Linked DNA regions of Oryzias latipes. Each later gene encodes a partner of the first gene's protein in a complex. Links are inferred from orthologs where the notes say so. Each region holds a gene or a part of one and is shown in the gene's direction. Other genes may lie near its edges.

Evidence for each region.
Region 2: rbm48 (region 1) and cript share a complex: the UniProt entries of both Homo sapiens proteins name them as parts of the minor spliceosome. The link is inferred for Oryzias latipes from reciprocal best matches to the Homo sapiens genes RBM48 and CRIPT.

The regions. Positions count from the first base shown.
Region 1 is NC_019869.2:21,761,681-21,765,570, forward strand, and holds rbm48 (RNA-binding protein 48), read left to right. Parts: upstream 1-1,335; 5' UTR 1,336-1,350; coding exon 1,351-1,512; intron 1,513-1,973; coding exon 1,974-2,164; intron 2,165-2,246; coding exon 2,247-2,392; intron 2,393-2,608; coding exon 2,609-3,144; intron 3,145-3,150; exon of another isoform or gene 3,151-3,235; coding exon 3,236-3,298; 3' UTR 3,299-3,388; downstream 3,389-3,890. Other genes in the region: pex1 (peroxisome biogenesis factor 1), read right to left, coding at 65-148, 248-394, 1,034-1,141; efcab1 (EF-hand calcium-binding domain-containing protein 1), read right to left, coding at 3,449-3,499, 3,572-3,676, 3,801-3,890. UniProt on the Homo sapiens protein: As a component of the minor spliceosome, involved in the splicing of U12-type introns in pre-mRNAs.
Region 2 is NC_019877.2:12,480,750-12,484,962, reverse strand, and holds the start of cript (cysteine-rich PDZ-binding protein), read left to right. Parts: upstream 1-1,288; 5' UTR 1,289-1,401; coding exon 1,402-1,417; intron 1,418-1,620; coding exon 1,621-1,686; intron 1,687-3,058; coding exon 3,059-3,113; intron 3,114-3,261; coding exon 3,262-3,365; intron 3,366-4,213. Other genes in the region: pigf (phosphatidylinositol-glycan biosynthesis class F protein), read right to left, coding at 38-129, 646-873. UniProt on the Homo sapiens protein: As a component of the minor spliceosome, involved in the splicing of U12-type introns in pre-mRNAs. Involved in the cytoskeletal anchoring of DLG4 in excitatory synapses.

The DNA.
Region 1 (3,890 bases):
TTGATTTCATGATAATGTATAACTGCAATTAGACAAATTACACAAAAGTCAATATTTCACTCACCAAAATCTCCCAGTCATCAGATGACAGTGGCTCCACAAACACCTGATTCAGCGAAGAGACTTGATGGCATGGTCTGAGAAAACACTGTGAAAACCACTCAATGTCAGACCAATGTTAAGAGACTGTTGCACAGGCAGTGTTCGTCCCAGTTGATGACCTAAAGGAAGAAACCAAGGTCTTTACCTGTTCTCCATCAGTCAAACCGAGCTTTTCTCCAAGCTGCCGAGACAACTCCACTCTGTGGCTGTCTGCTCCTAAGGAGGCTCTGATGGGACACCAGCTAAGGAACACTGTCGACCCGCCGTCCCAAGACAGCTCCAAAGCCTGATTCTAAAACGGACCGGCCAAAGAGAGACGATGAAATAAGACACAGAATGGTCTCTTAAAGCGGATGTCGAAATTATGATTCCAACTTTATGAATGTTAGATACTTGTGATACCTTTATTAGTTTTTATTCTTGTACATTTTGTATCATTACATACATTTCAGATTTTATGCTCAGCAGAAGAATTAAATTAAAAAATTGCAAAAATATTCCACAGGTGTGGTAGCAAAATATAGAAATATTGAGATGATCACATTAGTTATTATAATAATCAACCTTTTCTAAATTAAACTATTTCTAGGAGTTAATGTGTTAAAAATCAAAACAATGCAGTTTCCTTTAGACTAAAGACCCCTGAATGAGGACAGTATTTGATGCCCAATTTCTATTTTTACCAACAATTCATTTTTTGTTGCCTTGCATTACTTCCTAATACTAATTAAGTACACGTGATAATAAAAAAATGCTCTGCTTTTGTTATAAGTTTTAATTAAGAAAAACTAAAACCTTAAATGCAACCAAAGGTCCCCTTGTAATGTCAGAGAAACAAACCAGCAATGTGTAAAACACAAAAGCAGTCATTATTCAGTAAACTTTATGCAACAAAACTGAAGCGATGTTAAGTAATTAGCTAATACTTTACCTCATTCAGAGAAAGGTGCGATATCAGCTTTGAAGAGAGTTGAATAAAGCAGTTTTTAGTGTTGTTAAAAACAACACATACTGGTTGAATTCCCTGGTTGCTAAACATGACGTTTACATCGCTATTTTAGCATTTAAAGTGCTTAACATGCTGGTGCGCTAACGGCCAAAGTGCAACAAACATTTCGATGAATGAGAGAACTGATCCAGACAAAACAGTCGATTGTCGATGGAATCGATCATTTCAAAATAAGACTGCCACGTCGTCAACACTACACGTTGAGTGCTCTGCACAACGGAATGAACTCTTGTTTTGAAATGCCACCAAAGCGGAAACGCGTTTCAGCAAACATGGCGGCAAATGTCAACAGTAAACCTGGTTGTTGGAAGGTCCCAGAAGTCTACAAACATCACGAACAACACAACGCATGTTTTTCTAGACCCAAATATAGAGATGGAAGGAGAGCTAAAGCAGTCAAGGTAAGAAAAACGTTTCTAATGTTTGTAGCAAAGACGGTCTGTGTTGACGCAAGCGACGAGCTAATAATTATGTGTAAGTTGGTTTTATTTTTACATTTAAGAATGTAAGAGAAAATTTTAAAATCTTTTTTTTTAACTGGAAGAAAAAAGTATAAATTGTAGTCACACAGCAAGTGATAAATAAAAGACCAACGGCAGGTCTTAAAAAAACAAATAAAACTGTCGTTTTGGCAAAAATAAATAAATAAAATTAAATAAAAGACATGGTAAAAAGTTTGAGTCATTTCGAAAAAATTGTAATTAATAAACCATAAAAATCAAATTTCTAATACAGTAGACTGGATTTCTGAGTTGCAGGAAAGTACATCAGATCTGATGATTATGTCTTTAAGTTAATTGATTTTTATTGGTCACGTCAACAGCCTCACATATACTAATAACCATGCCTTTGTATCTGCCAGGTCTACACAATAAATTTAGAGTCCCGTTATGTGATGATCCAGGGAGTCCCCGCTATTGGAGTGATGGAGGAGCTGATCCAGTTGTGTGCTCTTTATGGAACAGTGGAGGAATACAGACCGCTGGACGAGTATCCTGCTGAGGAGTTCACAGAAGTCTACCTGGTCAAGTTTCAAAAACTGACAAGTGCTAGGTATGGCGGGCACCTTAACTGTACTGCCCTAAACCAGAAATGCTGAAAAATATGTCATTCAGGTTGATATTTGATGTTCCAGAGCGGCGAAACGTAACATGGATGAGAAGAGTTTCTATGGCGGCGTGCTGCATGTGTGTTACGTCCCGGAGTACGAGTCTGTGGAAGACACCAAGTTAAAGCTGCAGGACAGGAGAAGTTATGTTCTGAAAGTGGCTCGGAGTAGAGGTATTATCGCATTTTGACGATATACGGTGTTGAAAAGCACTGAATCTTTTTTTTCTTAGGTAATTGTTTTTTAAAAGTTCAATGAAAAAAAACTGTGATTAAAAAATTTTTTTTGTGTATTTTTATCTGAAATCAAATGTTTTTTGTTGTTTTGTAAGTTTAAAGTATAGATAAAGAATTTGATGAGTGTCATTTATCTGTTTCATGTTTATACAGCAAAAGAAAGAGTAGCGGATGCGGTACACATGGAATCTACGTCTTCAGAAAGCGTTCCCACATCAAGCAGAGTTTTTGCTACAAATAATCCAATCTTCAATAGTGACAAAACAGGCGAGACTTCAAGCTTCAGCCATTGTTCCGGATTTCCTCTACTGCCTTTACCCCCGCAGGAATACTTTCATCAGGATTATCGTGGGAACGAACCAACAGAAGATCAAATGGGGACTTTACATGACGCAGTGCCTCCTGACGTAAAACAGCAGAAAGTCCAGAACTTTAGCTCTTTCAGTAAAGACCCTAATTCCGAAAAAAAATTGGCCTCCAACCCAGATTCTTCCGTCAAGCTTGTTCCAAGAACTGCACATTTGGAAAAGAACAAACGCCGCAAAATGGAGGAGGCCACAAAACAGCCAGTGCCTGATTCTGGAGAACCGTCTTTGATTGGACCAAAACTACCAGAACCACATAAGCTGGACATGAATGATCAGTCGCTAAACACAACAGTAAATCTGATCAGGGGCACAATGAAGCAGGTAGTCTTTTATTTTTTTTTTAATGAGAATTAGAGCTTGACATGATGCCATATTGGTGCATTTCAGTCTCATTCTTTTCATTCATTCCTAGGTGACATCGGTCCCAGACCTCAAACCAGCGGAGAAGAAGGTTAAGCCACGCCGTCGGATATGATCCATTCTGTTTTAGTGACGACTGTCCATATTTATCAAAACTAACGTTGAAAGGCTCAACTTAAAATAAAATTGTACTTTAAGAAAAACATTTTGGCTTTTTCTTTCATGAAAGTCTCAAAGTTGAACACCGCTTGCACTTCATATTTTATTATTCATCTTGCTGCTTTTCCAGTACTTGCTGCTCAAACTTCTTCTTTGTCTAAAAAGAAAGATTTAAGTTAAATAGATCCTTACAATATTTTTAAGCTCAGCAACTTTTGGTTGTGATTACCCTGAAATTGGGCAGGCAGCTTCCAAAGGCTTCAAGGAGTAGCTCCTCCTTTTTTACAGACTTCTCAAAATCTTGAAAAGACAGCCTGCCGTCTTTGTCGTGGTCCTGTGGAATCACAGGAAGCAATGTTGGCATGTTACCAAAATAAATCTGCACACATCAAGACAAAATTCTTACAATCAACATCGATCCAAATGTGACAAAGGCAGATGGGAGGGCAACATCTCACCATTTTTTTGAGGACAATTTCCATCAGTTCGTTGATCTCATCCTGTTCATCTTGATAGTCGTCTTCTCTGCCTTCCTCTTCAAGCCGCAG
Region 2 (4,213 bases), on another chromosome or scaffold:
AAAAACAATTTCAAAGATTTTTTTCTAATAGACTTACTCAATCAACGGGGCTCCATAAAGGACAATCACAGTGTGGAAGAACAGACATGACAAGAAAAAGTACAGACAGGCACGAAACAGCCTGGAAAGCTGTGGAAAGAAACAGGATTATCATTATTACCAAAAAGTTACAACGTAGACATTTGAGAAAAATCCACTTAAAAAATGAACAATTTTTATATGTAAAAGCTCAGAAAAATTATTTTTTTATATGAGTTTGTTGTAGCAGAAAAATGTTAATAAGCAACAATTGCATATAGACTGTCATATGAATTTAAAATGTTTAACGTGAAAATAAAGCACTGTAGCAAATGTTTATAAACTCAATTAAAAATGTGTTCAAATCAGAAATACACATTTCTAATTATTACTGAAACGTCCATTTGCAAATTTGTTTTTTAAAAACGAGACAAAACGTTTACGAGTAAATAATAGGAATTAATTGTTTTGAAAAACCTAGTTTTCTATTATTTTAAATTGTGTAATAATTATTTCTGATACTTCTCTCATATACGTATGACTATTTGGCAAAAACCTTAAACAAATCAAGCACATTTCTTTGGGTTTGGACAAAATAAAGACATTTCCGAGGGAAGACATTCTGACCTTATATCCAAGTGTATTTTTTTTAGTGGACGGTGTGACGCCGAGGAGCCAGAAGACGACGACACTGACAGCATTCACAGCACCGGATGTGCAGTACAGCCACAACAGGTGAGTGCCGTACACCGAGAAGCTTAGAACAAAAACTGCAGGTAGCACCGTAGCCATGAACATCGAAGCGGCGATCAGAGCGTGGGTCGACACCATGGCTCTGATTTCGTGGTCCCACATGATGAAGACTTTCACTTTTCACAACAAGACAATAGAATAATGTAGATAATTTCAGTAGAGGTGTCTTAGAATTTTGGTAGGCGAAAGGACACGCAAATCCATGTATGACTACGCTTCCGTAAATATGAAAAAAAAAAAGCAATTTCCGTTTGCGTTTCACAATAAAACAGAAGATTCTCTTTTGATTGTTAATTTCTACCAATTTCTTTGTTTTGACATACATTACCCAACATATTTAAATCATATTCAACACTTTATAATAAAATACTATTTTCTAAAGTGAAATTTATATTTTCGAGTGCTGATTCCGTGGCGAAAATATTGTTACTCTCATTTTACTTTTATTCTGGATTTTAGAAATGCGCTTCTAGTCGGAGTGAACGAATCACATAACGTTTTACTGACAGGATTACCCAATGAGATTTGTTTGTACAAGTTGACGAAGACAACCGGAAGTTACATGAGCAGAGCTAGCTTGAACGCTTGTACACATTTTATATCAAGACAGGCCAAGTAAACGCAGCTGAGATGGTTTGTGAAAAATGTAAATATCGCACTTTCGCCTTGTTTCTTACATAATTTTACACTTATGACTTAGTTAATATAGTTAGTTAGTGACATTTTTGTTGTTTTGTTGAGTGGCTAATATTTTGTTATGCTAGCATTTGTTTTGGTTTTCCTTGCTCGTAGTTAGCTTTGTTAATTATTAATAATTCTTTGTTAATGTGGGATTTCCTAATATTTTAGGCGAAAAGAAGCTCGGAAAGGTCATCACTCCTGACACTTGGAAGGATGGAGCACGAAATACGACTGGTAACGTAGTCTCTATCCAAAAACATCCAAAAATGTTTACACGTTTAATAATTTAGACAATCGTGGAACGACAGGTAAAATAAATATGTTGCCCCCAAAAAATCTGTCTTGTAAATGAACGTCATTAAGGAATCGAAACGATGGAAGGAGAAGCTACTGCTAAAATATTTATTAGAACAGTACTCATTTACATATCTGTTTTCCCCGTCGGTCGGTCGGTCGGTCGGTCGGTCTGTCTGTCTGTCGGTCTGTCTGTCGGCTCATTTTCGGCCTACATCATAAAATTGTCTATTTATTTAAAAGTATTTATGCCCTACGTTCCTTTTCAAGAAAATGGTCTGTGACCCTGTCGTACCAACTAGGTGTCTCAACTGACTTGACCAATGTCCTCTCAATGGCCAGCAGAGCTAGGCTGCTTAAACAGCCTTAGCCCATTGTGTTTCGGGTGTAGGACTTAAGTCACTTTAAACAGGAGAAGCTCCTTTCTACACCTGCAGATGTAACTCCAATTGTTGCCACTAATGAGAACAGTTTGTAAAGCTGAGGCATTGGACTGTCCAACTCCATGTCTTTAAGGAACACCAAGTAATCATACAGCTTTCCCCTGTTACCCTGCAAGTCCTGATCTGAAAACAGGACTTGAAGTTCTGACCTCAGTCTTCCTGAATCAAAGGGAAGAATTAACTATCTAAAAAAAAATATTAAACTCTGTAAAACTGAAACAATCAATGTGGTGTATAATTGTGTGAAATGTATGATGAAAATCAAGCAATTTAGCCCAGCAATTATCAAAGAAATAGGTTGCAGCAGTTTTTAGTTCGACTGAACTTGAGAAATGTGAATAAGCGAAAAGCTTCAGTCAGAAGGCGGTCTTTTAACAGACCCTTCAATCATCACGGAGAAGCTCGGAGTTTGGGCTGGCCCACTCCCCACTCACCCCCAGAGACGCTGAGCATCCGTTGGCGGGACATAATCACAGCGTTTATCCAATGACCATCTAGTTTCGAAGCGCAGAAAAAAAATGTTCAAAGCAGCCCGATTGAAGTCAATGGACGCTGGGCTTCTTTAGAGAAATGCACTGTGATGCTGCGGGAATGTATGAGAAGGAAATCGAGTCAGGCGACTTGCTATATGTAACTGATTCTTAACGAACTCGTCTTTGAGATGAACGTTTTCTTACACATTTTTAGTCAATAAAATGTTAATAAAATAAAATACAATACAATACAATAGTACATATTTGACCATTTATTTTGTGACATTATAAGGGAAGCAGAGCTTCCCTTGCAGTCTTAAAGAAATCGCCACTGGTATGTATGTATGTACATACATGTGTATATATAATCTCACAATGTTGTTTTATTTTTCTTAGAGAGTGGAGGCCGTAAACTAAATGAAAACAAGATGTTGACATCTAAGAAGGCCAGGTGAGTATTGCACTGTGAAAAAACTTTTACTCATAAATCAAATGGCAGTGTAGTAGTTTCTAGCTTTCTGTAAGCACTAGTGGTTTATTTTGCTGTTAAGGTTCTTTGATGTTGCTAATTCTCAATGTTTAACTGTGGTTTTTCTCAGGTTCGACCCTTACAGTAAGACGGGCTTTGCCATCTGCAGAATCTGCAAGAGCTCTGTTCATCAGCCTGGATCGCACTACTGCCAGGGCTGTGCTTACAAGAAAGGTATAGTTGTGCACTTAAACTCTATTTTTATTTTCTTCAATACAAATTGAAGGTAACATGTCAAAAATTAACACTACAATGTATTGTAGAACCAAAAATCATATTAAAGCAGAACAGTATTAAGTAGGTTTTTCATTTTTATGTTCAGTCATAATATTGATATAAATTTGTCTGTAATTTTGTAAATCTTTACTATAACCAACATTGTGCTGGCATATGTTTGTGCTTCCATAACAGATGCCCATTTATATAAATGTACACATGTTGGCAAGTCCTTTATTATCTTCTCACTACACACTTTAATTTATAAAATATCCTTTGATGTAAATGTAATTTTTTTAGGGTTCCTGGTGACTGATACAAAGAATTTAAAGGTATAGGAATAGGTTAACTTAACTGTTTGTTTATGTCTGTAAAGTATTTGAACTGAGTGATGAAATTCAAACCTCAAAAGCCATATTTTTACAAACCTCGACCCCAGCCCCAAGCACTCGGCTTGCAGAAGTGGATACAAGGTTTTACATTGATTGCAGAATTGCATGTTGTGCCCCAAATATTGCAGGTTTTGATGAAGTGGTCAAAAATAGCCCCTGAGCTAAAAATTATGCCTGAATATATGCACAACCCAAACTGCTGTGAAACAACAACTAAATGGGCAAAAATAAAATATTTATTTATTGAGATGTTTGTCAAACTTTGCTATTCAAGTGAAACCCAAAGGCTCAAACTTACCGGGTGGTGATATTTTTAATGATTTTTTTTTTTGCTTGCACAATAAATATAACAGTAAATTAAATCTTTAAATTTTTATAAACTTCCCCCATAGACAGCATTGCTTTGTTTTAGTG